Linked DNA regions of Saccharomyces cerevisiae S288C. Changing the gene in region 1 together with any one later gene gives a genetic interaction. Each region holds a gene or a part of one and is shown on either strand. Other genes may lie near its edges.

Region 1 (7,468 bases):
CTTGTTCCCTAGGCCATCGTACACTATAGCCCTTCCTTCAAGCACTTAATAGAAAAACCTCTTTTTCTACACCATCATAATAGTGTTTGCTCGCCCCGTTCTTTCCATTCCCATTTATAACAATACTAGTAACTATAATAATATCCTTACGACTGGGCAAGACAAGACGAAGCAAGGCCAGCACAGACGTAAGCTTAAGTGTAAGTAAAAGATAAGATAATTATGAGTGACAATCCATTTAATGCGAGTCTTCTTGACGAGGACTCAAACCGTGAGAGAGAAATACTAGATGCCACAGCAGAGGCCCTTTCGAAACCAAGCCCTTCTTTAGAGTATTGTACTTTATCCGTGGACGAAGCTCTAGAAAAACTGGACACTGACAAAAACGGTGGTTTACGATCATCTAACGAGGCCAACAATAGGAGATCACTTTATGGCCCCAATGAAATAACCGTAGAAGATGATGAAAGTCTTTTCAAGAAGTTCTTGTCAAATTTCATTGAGGATCGAATGATTCTACTTTTAATAGGATCCGCAGTGGTCTCTCTTTTTATGGGTAACATTGATGATGCTGTTAGTATCACACTGGCCATTTTCATAGTTGTCACTGTCGGTTTTGTCCAAGAATATAGGTCTGAAAAATCTCTAGAAGCGTTGAATAAATTGGTTCCTGCTGAATGTCACTTAATGAGATGTGGTCAAGAGAGTCATGTACTGGCTTCCACCTTGGTTCCTGGTGATTTAGTGCACTTCAGAATAGGTGACAGAATCCCCGCAGACATTAGAATTATTGAAGCAATCGATTTATCCATCGATGAAAGTAATTTAACTGGTGAAAATGAACCGGTACATAAAACCTCACAAACGATCGAAAAATCTTCCTTTAACGATCAGCCTAATTCAATTGTACCGATTTCTGAGAGATCTTGTATAGCTTATATGGGTACATTAGTCAAGGAAGGTCATGGTAAGGGTATCGTCGTAGGAACAGGTACAAACACATCCTTTGGTGCCGTTTTTGAAATGATGAATAATATTGAAAAACCGAAGACTCCATTGCAGTTAACAATGGACAAATTGGGAAAGGACTTGTCACTGGTTAGCTTCATAGTTATTGGTATGATTTGTTTAGTTGGTATCATACAAGGTAGATCTTGGTTAGAAATGTTCCAAATATCGGTATCCTTAGCGGTTGCTGCTATTCCAGAAGGGTTACCAATTATTGTCACTGTTACTTTGGCATTGGGTGTTCTGAGAATGGCCAAGCGTAAAGCCATCGTGAGAAGGTTACCAAGTGTCGAAACTTTAGGCTCTGTCAACGTTATCTGCTCCGACAAAACAGGTACACTAACCTCAAACCACATGACCGTATCTAAACTTTGGTGCTTGGACAGTATGTCCAATAAGCTAAACGTCCTCTCATTAGACAAAAATAAGAAGACTAAAAATTCTAATGGAAATTTGAAAAACTATTTGACTGAAGACGTTAGGGAAACTCTAACTATCGGTAATCTCTGTAATAATGCATCTTTCTCTCAAGAACATGCCATATTTCTGGGAAATCCTACTGATGTAGCTCTTTTAGAGCAATTGGCAAACTTTGAAATGCCTGATATCAGAAACACCGTTCAAAAAGTTCAGGAACTTCCATTTAACTCGAAAAGAAAATTAATGGCAACCAAGATTCTCAACCCTGTCGACAATAAGTGTACAGTTTATGTTAAAGGTGCATTTGAAAGAATTCTTGAGTACTCCACAAGTTATTTGAAATCAAAGGGTAAAAAAACTGAAAAGTTGACTGAAGCCCAAAAAGCTACGATAAATGAGTGCGCAAATTCTATGGCATCTGAAGGTTTGCGTGTCTTTGGATTTGCTAAACTAACTTTGTCTGATTCATCAACTCCTCTAACCGAAGACCTAATCAAAGATTTAACCTTTACTGGTTTAATCGGTATGAATGACCCACCAAGACCGAACGTTAAATTTGCCATCGAACAATTACTACAAGGTGGTGTCCATATTATTATGATCACTGGTGATTCTGAGAATACCGCAGTAAACATTGCAAAACAAATTGGTATTCCAGTTATTGATCCAAAGCTTTCCGTTTTATCCGGTGATAAATTAGATGAAATGTCAGATGATCAACTGGCCAATGTCATCGACCACGTTAATATTTTTGCTCGTGCTACGCCTGAGCATAAGTTAAACATTGTTCGTGCATTAAGAAAGAGGGGTGATGTGGTAGCAATGACTGGTGATGGTGTTAACGACGCTCCTGCGTTGAAACTTTCAGATATTGGTGTTTCTATGGGTAGAATTGGTACAGATGTAGCCAAAGAAGCCTCAGATATGGTCTTAACTGATGATGACTTCAGTACTATTTTAACTGCCATTGAAGAGGGTAAAGGTATCTTTAATAATATTCAGAATTTCCTGACTTTTCAATTGTCTACTTCTGTTGCCGCACTATCATTAGTTGCACTATCTACAGCGTTTAAACTACCCAATCCACTGAACGCAATGCAAATTCTTTGGATAAATATTTTAATGGATGGGCCACCAGCTCAATCCTTAGGTGTGGAACCTGTTGATCATGAAGTTATGAAAAAACCTCCAAGAAAACGTACCGATAAAATTTTGACCCATGATGTAATGAAACGTTTACTAACCACCGCGGCCTGTATCATCGTTGGGACAGTTTACATTTTTGTTAAAGAGATGGCCGAAGATGGTAAAGTAACTGCTAGAGATACTACTATGACATTTACTTGTTTTGTTTTTTTTGATATGTTTAATGCTTTGGCCTGCAGACATAACACAAAGTCAATCTTCGAAATCGGCTTTTTCACGAACAAAATGTTCAACTACGCCGTTGGACTGTCTCTGTTAGGTCAAATGTGCGCTATATATATACCATTTTTCCAAAGTATCTTTAAAACTGAGAAACTTGGTATCTCTGATATACTATTGTTATTGCTCATCAGCAGTAGCGTTTTCATCGTTGATGAATTGAGAAAATTGTGGACGAGGAAAAAGAATGAAGAAGACTCAACGTATTTCTCAAATGTTTGATATGTCACATTTTGTGCTTTTATCGTTTTTCCTTCCTTCCCTTTATCTTTCATGAGGACGCCCAACCCTATTGAGGTAAATGTACTAATTAATGGGAACATATGTAGATGTATATATGTACATATATTTACAACGGATACTAAGATAAACATGTATGGGCGACTTTTCGTATATACAAAGCAATATAAAATTTTATTCTTTCCTTCTTTTTCCGGACTAGATATAAAATCTCCGTAATCAGTGGTTATGATTTTCAAAAGTTAATCACAGTTTTATTTAAAACTGTATACAATTATTTGCAGCCGCCTTTCGCAATCTGTTCATAACAGCTAATCCTTCTCCTTCCTCATTTATACCTTCGACAAATATTAGGTCTACTTTATCATTTTCATCCACTTTTCTTAAAGCTGCAAACAAGTTAGTCTGTATTTCTTCACCAGATTGGCCAAGTCTTTCGATGATGAAAGTTTTCGAAGAAAAATCGGGTTCATTAAAGATCTTAGATTGTAAGTCGGAATCACGTAATTTTAGGGAAGTTAAAATCGCAATTTTTTTTATATTACTGTTGGCTTTTAATTCCGTTTCGATTAACCTCTTTAATCTTTCCATCCTATCAACGCCCTTAAGAATGCCATCGCCTTCGCAATGAGGAACTAGTAAAACAACTTTAGCTGAAGGGGAATAGTGTCTATACTTCATACCAGGCGTTCTTACCTTTTCGCCCTTTTCAACTGTTTTCTTATTCTCAACTTTACAAAGAGACCAAGCTTCACCACCCAATTTAACAATTTCTTCATATGTAAAACCGCCAGGTCGCAGTAGCGTAGGAGGATTACATAACCCATCAACAACAGTACTTTCTACACCAACCTTGCACGCTCCGCCATCAAGAATTATGGGAATTTTATCCTTTAGATCATGATAAACATGAGACGCTAAAGTAGGAGATGGCCTAGTAGACGCATTCGCTGAAGGAGCAGCTATTGGTGTATCGCTCAGGGCAATCAGTGCTCTAGCCACTGGATTAGCGGGTATGCGTACCGCAAACGTAGGCTGATCTGCGGTCGTTAACTTTGATAATGCACTATGCTCTGAAGATGGAACTGGCAAAAGAATTGTTAATGGGCCAGGCCAAAGGCTTGAAATTAATGGGCGATAGATTGAGGGTATGTTATCAAACAAGGATGTACCTGATAGATGCGGTTGATTAAAGACCTTTCTGTTAAGTTGATCAATGGATGAAACATGTGTAATCAAAGGATTGTCACTAGGCCTATTTTTGGCCCTGTATATACTAAGCACTGAATTATCATTTAAAGCAGAACCTCCAAGACCATAAACAGTTTCGGTTGGAAAAGCCACAGTCTCATCTGTATCTCTTATTATCCTCGCCGCTTCAACTAGCGCTGCTTCCGTTTCAGGATCTGTTATCGTTGGTAAGGAACCATCTATATGCGCATCAGGGGAGAAAATGATTGATAGCGGGTTAACTTTTAAGATCTTGGTATCAAACAGTGCTTTCGATGTCATTGCCAAAAAATGTCGTCCAAGGTACATACAATTCTAAAAATGGAATAATAAACAGGACTACCATTAAAAATGGAAACAGGTTTAGTGGTAAGTTAACAGCGCAGAAGAAAAAAAAAATTTGAGGAGAAGAATAAAGCTCTCGCTTCAAATATTATCAGCTTCAATAGGTATGTGCGATGAGGTTACTATCTTCTGGGTGAAAAAATAGTAAGGCTAGCGTAGATAATGATTTGAAATTTCTCAAAAAAATATTTTTGATACATATAATAATTTTGAAGCCTGAATTTTTCAACGAAATAGCCTTGTTGGCGCAATCGGTAGCGCGTATGACTCTTAATCATAAGGTTAGGGGTTCGAGCCCCCTACAGGGCTATCTTTTTTAGGCTCAAATCAAAAAAATGTCTAATATATTAAATTCTACTTCCTTTTTATATCTCAAAGAAGAAGGCATTTAACCCCATTCATATGGTTTACACTTGTGTTGAGATTTGTTGCTTGCGCTTCTTTTATCCTTTTAAACCGCTTATTTATCCTTTCCAACGATAAGGCTCAAATGACATCAATGTTCTCTTTTGTGTCACAAGAAATATAAATAACAACAATAAAACATTAGGTATTTAGTTGGAAGTCAAACTTGAAACTCTTCCCGGTTATGTTGTATTGGCAAGGAAAGAGCTGAATTGGTTGAGTGATGGGAGCTGGCACTCTTTTAAATGGATTAGAAAAGGAAAACTTTCCAAATAACATCCATTCAGATTTGCCTGCGTATCCTAACATGGATTCTCAAGAAGATGGCAATACTAGTAAGGAAAGTAAAAGAAATAGTCCAGTAAAACAGAAGTCCCAAAAAGATGAAGAAAAGTCATCTAAAATGGGGACTGCAAGCAACATATTCCATGAAAATAAAGATATACACGAAAGATCTGAACACACGGACGATTTTAATGATGGCTTAAAACTGGCTCCGGACTCTAGTCCAAGCTTGAAAGAGTGTCAATTTAAAAATTGGGAAAGTTTTTGGTGTAATACAGAAGGTTACAAAACTAAACACATGCAGCCCTTTCATTTTACAAGCGGATTAGAAGAAATAAAGGAACCGGTCATGGAATTGAATATTTCCACTTCACCATACAAGGGACAGAGGCCAAATTCAGCTCCAACCGAGTATTCAGCTGCCACAACAGCGTTTACCAAAACACAATTAGAGGTGAGTTTTCTAAAAACCAACTTGCTTACATACATTAAAAAAGAGATTGACATTTGCTTGTCAAGTGTTCCATTTTTTGACGACGCAGTTCAAATGCAAAAGAAATTCTTGGAATACAGAGATATTGACTTGGATGAAGAATATGAGCTCAAAATTTTGGGGGAACTTTTGAATGATTTAAACTTCTTTCATATGCAAGAAAACTCTTTGCTAAATAGAGAGCTAGCAGTTCGTAGATTCTCCAATCAACCTGAAAGTCAAAATTTACCTTCCATTAGGGATTTTAGAAATCCACTTTTGCCAATAGATAACCGCCCTTCTCCCCCATTAGGATTGAAAAGAAACGGAAAGTCTTTCGAGGAAACCTATGATTTCACGTCCAATACATCAAATTTTTGGGGAGAAAAAGCAGAACTACAAAACTCCATAACTGGTGGAACACCCTATTTTTTCCACCCTAACAATATACATCAAACAAAACCTTTTATGTCATTTGAAAATCAAAATGAACTTCTATTCCAGAGAAAAAATTCAGATTACAAGCAGCATTTTAACTCTGGAAGAAATATACATAATGGAGTGGAATCGAAATCTTACAGAGGTGTGGGGTTAAACGATAGTTATCAAAAGGGTTATGCAGCAATGACAAAGTCGTTTGGAAATATCGATTTAAATAGAATGCCCAGAAGAAGTAATGAAGAAATGTATAGCTGGTCACGTAATTGATCAATGAAAGTAAATAAAAAAAACTACTAATCATATATACATGTCTTGCATACGCACGTTTGTTTATATTATTTCGAGAAATGTTTTTTTGAAAGTTCTTCATTTTTTCTTCTTTTGGATGCTGCAATCATTTCTTGTTGACGTCTTCTTTTGGCCTTATCCATCTTAGGCACAGTAGTAATCTGCTTTCTTTCTTTATGCGCTTTACCGTTTTTTATACTTTCTTTCTCCTTTCTGGTCATTTTAGCCATTTTATCCATCCACTCAGATACTTCACAACCACTTTGTTTCATGACATTTATTATTGGTTTAATAGCTACTGAGTCTTGTTTAGTATAGAATGTGATAGCTTTACCTGACCGCCCACCTCTACCTGTTCTACCAATTCTGTGAACATAAGCCTGAGACGATCCTGGAACGTCATAATTGATGACCAGATTGACACCTTTGAAGTCAATACCACGAGCTAAAACGTCGGTACAGATCAAACACCATAATTCACCAGTTTTAAATCGTTCAATAATCCTGTCTCTTTGTAAGGCTGTTCTTTCTGCATGAATCACATCTACGTTAATCCTATCGTACATCAATTCATGATATAACGCTTTTGCTCTTGTAATAGACTCTAAAAATATTATGATCGGTGGCTTGAACTCACCCTCTTGAACGAGTTGTCTAATAGCAATTAGTTTACCCTCTTCATTACCACAAAATATTAATTTTTGTTCAATATTTGTATTTGCTGCTTCCTTGTGGCCAATAATAACTCTAACAGGATCCATCATTATACTTTGTGCAATCTCTTCTACATTGGATGGAATGGTCGCAGAAAACATCGCTTTACGCAACGATGGCTCTCTACAGGCGCTCAAAATATCGTCACTCTGTTCAACGAATGTTTTGTCAAACAATTTATCAGCTTCATCAAAT
Region 2 (6,465 bases), on another chromosome or scaffold:
CTCTTCTTGGTGGTCTTGAGGAGCTTTGGAAGTTGGAACCTCTGGCTGCACTCCAGTCAATATCTGGCTCTTCTCTTTCTCTTCTTGGTGGCCTCGAGGAGCTTTGAAAGTTAGAGCCTCTAGCTGCACTCCAGTCAATATCTGGCTCTTCTCTTTCTCTTCTTGGTGGTCTGGAAGAGCCTTGGAAATTGGAGCCTCTTGCAGCGCTCCAGTCGATATCAACTTCTTCTCTTTCTCTTCTTGGTGGTCTGGAAGAGCCTTGGAAATTGGAACCTCTTGCAGCAGTCCAGTCAATATCAACTTCTTCTCTTTCTCTTCTTGGACCTCTGAAGTTAGAACCTCTAGCGGCACCCCAATCAAGATCTGGTGCATCTTCTCTTCCATCACCTTGGAAATTGGAGCCTCTAGCACTACTCCAATCAACATCTGCACCTCCCCCTCTTCTTGGAGCCGCAACAGAAACGTAAACAGTTCTCTCATTCAATTTAGTACCGTTGAACTTCAGAACGGCGACCAAATCTGCTCTTTCTTTCAAAGTAACGAAAGCATTACCCTTTAATCTTGTTGGGTCTCTTAGATTCTTTGGCAAAACAACTTCTTCAACCGCTTCAGGCTTAACTAAACCATCTTCAACCCAGGCTTGAACACCCTCTGGGGTAATATCCCATGGAATGTTGTTTATGACAGCCCTATATGGTGGAGCATCTGGAACAGGGTATTCCTCTCTTCTATCGGAAGAACCGCCCCCCAAAGCAGGGTCTAATCTAGATCTACCTCCAAAACTGCCACCAAAGCCGCCTGAACGCGTGTTATTGCTGTTGTTTTTAGCATGAGCCAATTCGGACAATGGAATAGTGTTTGCATTAGCGGTTTCAATAGGAATTGTGATCTTATTCAAATCGACATCTTCTTCAGCCCAAGATGAACCAAAGGTGTCATCATTTAAAAATGACGTAAGGTCCATCTTCTTTACGGTTTTCTTTGGTGGAGCCATGATGTGTCCTTTTTATTATGGTATTATTTTCCTAAAGACAGATGAAAGCTAATATAAACTCGAGTTTTATGATAATCCCGCTTATTGGTCTACTGATCTTCTCTAACTCTGTAGTTATATCTATCTCTTCTGCTTCTATTTCTGCTTTTCTTTAGCGATGCTGATTTCCGCAAAAAAATTTTCATTCCGTGGTGCGTGATCTGATGAGAAATAAAGCCAAAAAGAAAAAAAGACAAGAAGACAAAAAGGTTGGGCGGCTAAGTAGCGCCAGGATATAAAAAGCAACATAGATTTCAGTACCCTATTATCCTGCCAAAATTTACTTTAAGAAGTCTCTATGAATATACAGGCTAAATTTGGAAACATGAGAAAGGAAAGATGAAGATACAAAGATTGCAAGCAGTCAAGAAGATTTAGGAAAAAAGGAAAAAGCAAAAAATATCGATTTTTATGACTTACAAACTAAATTGATATGTTCGAAATAATTTTGAGAAGCTGAGCTCAATCTGGTACTAATCACTTCAAGTTAGATGTGCAAAGAAAGAGAATAGCATAAATTCAAAACCAAAGGAAGTGCGAGGCATTACCCGCATATTATCGGGAAACAGAAGCCATGTTAGAGTGATTTCCAACAAATGGCCCTTTGCCAGAGATGGGCTCTGCAAAAGAATTGGAAGAAGAGAAGAAATCGCTTCACATTCCGTTTCGTTTCTGGGTCTAATTAAAGTAGTACGGTGTCAATTAGGTATGCTAGGTTTGCGAACTCATGGTTTAGACAGGTATGAACATTATATTCGTCGCCCGTCGGATTTTGGCAAACTTGAGCTGCAAGATTGGTTGAATCATAAGTCATTCCGAGTTTCCCCCAATTTATTAATTGATTCAAGCACCACACGTGAGTGGAATGAACCTGAGCTTTTTTATCAAAATACCGAGGATGAAACTTGGGTGAGACCTTGTGTAGGGCCAAAGCTAGAACCATCAATGATGATGCTCAGATATCACGATTCGAATATTGGTCAAATGCCTCAATTTTGTTATCCAATCTCAAGTCCGATAAATTTTAAACCAGTATTAAAATACATTTTGCAAGAACGTTCTGAACTGTCAGACGGCTTCCCTCAAAAGTATAACACACTAATAGGTAGTCTTTTTGACATTGATAAAAACCCAGAAACCTTAGATGATTCAGATATAGAAGCATTGGATGACATAGAAATGAGCAGTGACAGCGGTAATGTTAAAGAACCAAAAATTGAATTGCAGGCGCTGGAAGAAATCCAACAAAAGCATTTCAGTTTAATAGTATCCAACAATGGAATCTTTCAAACAGGTAGCACTTCAATAACATACATACAGTCTGGCATATCTGGCAGCATAGCTATAAAACCCAACAACGTTGCAATTTTAATATTACTCACTCAACCAAGTGGTCACTTATTGTCTATTTTACCGCTTGATGACGGTAAAGAGACATATTTGCTACAATATTGGAACCTGGGACAAAAAGGTCAGTGGAACATAATCAAGCACCAAAACGAGAAGCAGTTTGTTCTTATACATAAGGAACTAGGCATTTGCAAATTTTTTGAATTCCATTTACCATTTACTTTTCAATTAGTAAACAATTTAACATTGACCGATTCCGTGATTATGAACGGATCCTTTTTCCCAACAAATTACACTGATTTAGATCCCTATTTCATTATATTTATAACAGCCATAAGATATGAAAGGATAGTCTACTTTGTCATAGAATGGAACAACAACGAAATAAAGAAAAAAGAGGTATATCAATTGACAGTATTTGATGGTGAGAAGACTAATATGACAATACCCATTGGACTAAATGCATGTTTAGTCGAAACACCCCTAAAGTTCTCTTTAGTTTCTGCAAATCAAATTATGTCAGGAGAGACTGAATTCCACTCATTCCAATTGAAGGCTCTCAAGGGAATCAAGTCATTTTTTCCAGCTCCTTTATTGTTATTAAAATTACAAGAACTACACCCACATACATTTAAAAAATTCCAATATTGTACCATAATATCCTCCTCGACAGGAAATATTTGTTTTTGCGTCACCGAACGATCGACAATAGTAAATGGTAATTTAAAATTTTACGAGCTAACTAGGTTCAAAGGATTGAAATCCATTTCACCACTACCTTCAAATCCGATAAATTTAGACTCCAGATCCTCAAGTTATGTACTGGTGGTCATAAGTTTTAGTAGAACATTAGAGCTAACATTATCTCTAGAAGATTTGAGATGTTTAGATAAAAAAGACGTTATTAAGCCTTTGAAAAATATCACCTTCAAGCACACAATTGATAGTTCCACAGAGGAGAACTCTCAAATTTTAGCATTTACGTCTTCTAAATTTTATAACACACACACAGGCTCTAACATCAATGACACGAGAAATTCTCAAGTTTGGCTTACCTCACCAAATGCAATAACTCAACCTTGCATTGATTATAAACTCAGGAAAACTCATCAACTTATCCACTTAAAGCAATTTCAAATTTTTAGACATCTTAGGATATGGAAATGTAAGAACCTTGATATTGCTCTGTTACAGAGACTTGGAATAAACCAGTCAAATACCGAAAGTTCGTTAATTTTTGCGACCGACGCTGTTTCTAACAACAGAATATTTTTATTAGATTTAACTATGACAACGACAATCGATAATGATGATCCCGTTCAAGGACTGATAAATATAGAAGATTTACTATGTGATACTGAAAACGAAACTATCCTTCTAAATTTTACGAAAAATAACTTGATTCAAGTAACTAGGGATACGATATACATCGATCCCATTGGTGGGGACAAAGAGTTGCGTAAGATTTCTCCAGGTTGGGAATTCGAAAACGTTACATACAATGATGGTATTTTAATAGTTTGGAATGCTGGGCTTGGCTGTGTCTCTTATATTGAAAATATAGACGCTGTTGATGAGTCTGGCGCCTTAGTTTCAAACTTAAGCAGCAGCAAAGGCATGAGCAAGTTCTTCAAGCAGTTAGGAACTGTCACGAGTGTCAATTTTCAAATCAAAGAGTCTACAGATGATCCAACCAAGTATGACATTTGGATCCTTTTACCAGACTGTGTCATTCGTACACCCTTTTCTGACTGGATTAGTGATTCACTTGATTTTTCTGATGTGTATATTTTGAGTGTTCAGCAGGCGTTAATAAACGGCCCTTATTTTTGCTCTCTCGATTATGAATCATATTTTGAGGTGCACACTTTACAGAACAACTGCTTCAAAAAAGGATCCAGATGTACAAGCAGAGTTAATTTTCAAGGGAAAGATATTAAATTTAGAAGCTTTGGTGTGAATCAATGTTTGGCATTTAGTGCATTTGAAATTTTTGTCATCAATTTAACGCCAATTCACGACAGTAGAGAATTGGATTTTTACAAGCTAAAATTACCGCACCTAGGTAATAACAATTCAATTCTTGAAGTCTGTCCGGACATAGAAAACAACCAATTATTCATACTCTACTCTGATGGCTTAAGAATCCTCGAACTATCATACCTAACATCAAATAATGGAAATTTCTTATTAAAATCTACAAGAAGCAAAAATAAGAAATTTTTATATCTAGACAAAATAAATCGAATGCTGGTATTGAATCAGGACTTGAGGGAATGGGAGTGTATTAGACTATCAGATGGTAAGGCAGTTGGTTTAGATTCTCAACTTCTTAAGGATGATTCTGAAGAAATCCTAGAAATAAAGGAATTACCAATAGCAACAGAGGACAATCCTTTAGAAAAGAAAACTGTATTATTGATCTCTTTTACTAGCTCATTAAAACTAGTTTTATTAACTGCTGCAAAAAACAAAATTTCCAATCAAATAATAGATTCGTATAAACTTGACAATTCAAGACTCCTCAATCATTTGGTCATTACTCCCAGAGGTGAAATATTCTTTCTGGATTATAAAGTTATGGGCACCGATAACGAAATGTCCTTTAACAAGTTGAAAGTCACAAAACATTGCATTGACCAGGAGGAGAGAAATAATACGACTTTGCGGCTCACTTTGGAAACCCGGTTTACATTTAAGAGTTGGAGTACAGTTAAGACGTTTACTGTAGTAGGCGATAATATCATTGCTACCACAAATATGGGCGAAAAGCTCTACTTGATTAAGGATTTCTCTTCATCATCTGACGAATCGAGAAGGGTGTATCCCTTGGAAATGTATCCTGATTCAAAAGTTCAAAAGATAATACCATTAAATGAATGCTGCTTTGTTGTTGCCGCTTACTGTGGAAATAGGAACGATTTAGATTCAAGATTAATTTTTTACTCTTTACCCACCATCAAAGTTGGGCTTAATAACGAAACAGGCAGCCTACCAGATGAATATGGGAATGGGAGAGTCGACGACATATTCGAGGTTGACTTTCCTGAAGGATTTCAATTTGGCACTATGGCTTTGTATGATGTTTTACATGGTGAGAGGCACGTAAATCGTTACAGCGAAGGCATACGGTCGGAGAATGACGAAGCAGAGGTTGCCCTAAGGCAGCGTAGAAATTTACTACTCTTTTGGCGAAACCACTCTTCTACACCAAAACCTTCACTACGCCGAGCCGCCACTATAGTATATGAGGATCATGTATCATCCCGTTATTTTGAGGATATAAGTTCTATATTAGGAAGCACTGCAATGAGAACTAAAAGACTATCTCCCTATAATGCGGTAGCATTGGACAAGCCTATTCAAGATATTAGTTACGATCCCGCAGTACAAACTTTATATGTGCTAATGGCAGATCAAACAATTCACAAATTCGGCAAGGACAGGTTGCCTTGCCAGGACGAATACGAACCAAGATGGAATTCTGGCTATTTGGTTTCAAGAAGGTCAATAGTTAAATCTGACCTCATCTGTGAGGTTGGGTTATGGAACCTTAGCGATAACTGCAAGAACACAGTATAATTCCCTCATTTCCAATAACATTGTCGCTGATAAAATCGTGATTCTCGATCAATGTGCTACGCGTCGTGCAGCGTGACAAGGGGCTAAAAAAAGATACAAGAATTCTTGTTGTTTCCAATTTGCTTCGCCTCAGAAAAAAAAATAAACAGATTATACAATTTTTGTTTGATTTGTATTGGGTACTACATGTTTTAGTAGTTGATACAAATACTTCTTTATCCTAATCGTATATATTTATTTTACCAGCAGGAATTCGTCTTTAATATCGTTTCGACCATCGATCATTCCTCTGAGTATTGCAAAAACATTTTTGGAACAACCCAAACTTAAAGTTACAAAACTCAAAAAAGGAACAAAATTAATAAAACAAAAGAATCGCTGTTAGAGGTTTATTGTTGCACTAATAGAAAATCATAGAACTTTAAAAATTATACTAGAAAGATGTCACAACAAGTTGGTAACAGTATCAGAAGAAAGCTGGTAATCGTTGGTGATGGTGC

Evidence for each region.
Region 2: mutations in HUR1 (region 1) and MMS1 together harm fitness more than expected from each alone (negative genetic interaction), as found in Saccharomyces cerevisiae (4 studies listed by BioGRID, with this or other methods).

The regions. Positions count from the first base shown.
Region 1 is NC_001139.9:183,223-190,690, reverse strand, and holds HUR1 (Hur1p), read right to left. Parts: upstream 3,228-7,468; coding exon 2,895-3,227; downstream 1-2,894. Other genes in the region: Ca(2+)/Mn(2+)-transporting P-type ATPase PMR1, read left to right, coding at 223-3,075; SUA5 (threonylcarbamoyladenylate synthase), read right to left, coding at 3,352-4,632; SPO74 (Spo74p), read left to right, coding at 5,297-6,538; RNA-dependent ATPase ROK1, read right to left, coding at 6,607-7,468.
Region 2 is NC_001148.4:868,962-875,426, forward strand, and holds MMS1 (Mms1p), read left to right. Parts: upstream 1-1,741; coding exon 1,742-5,965; downstream 5,966-6,465. Other genes in the region: TIF3 (Tif3p), read right to left, coding at 1-994; Rho family GTPase RHO1, read left to right, coding at 6,407-6,465. UniProt on the Saccharomyces cerevisiae protein: Component of multiple cullin-RING-based E3 ubiquitin-protein ligase complexes (CRLs), which mediate the ubiquitination of target proteins. The CRL associates with CDC34 as the E2 ubiquitin-conjugating enzyme.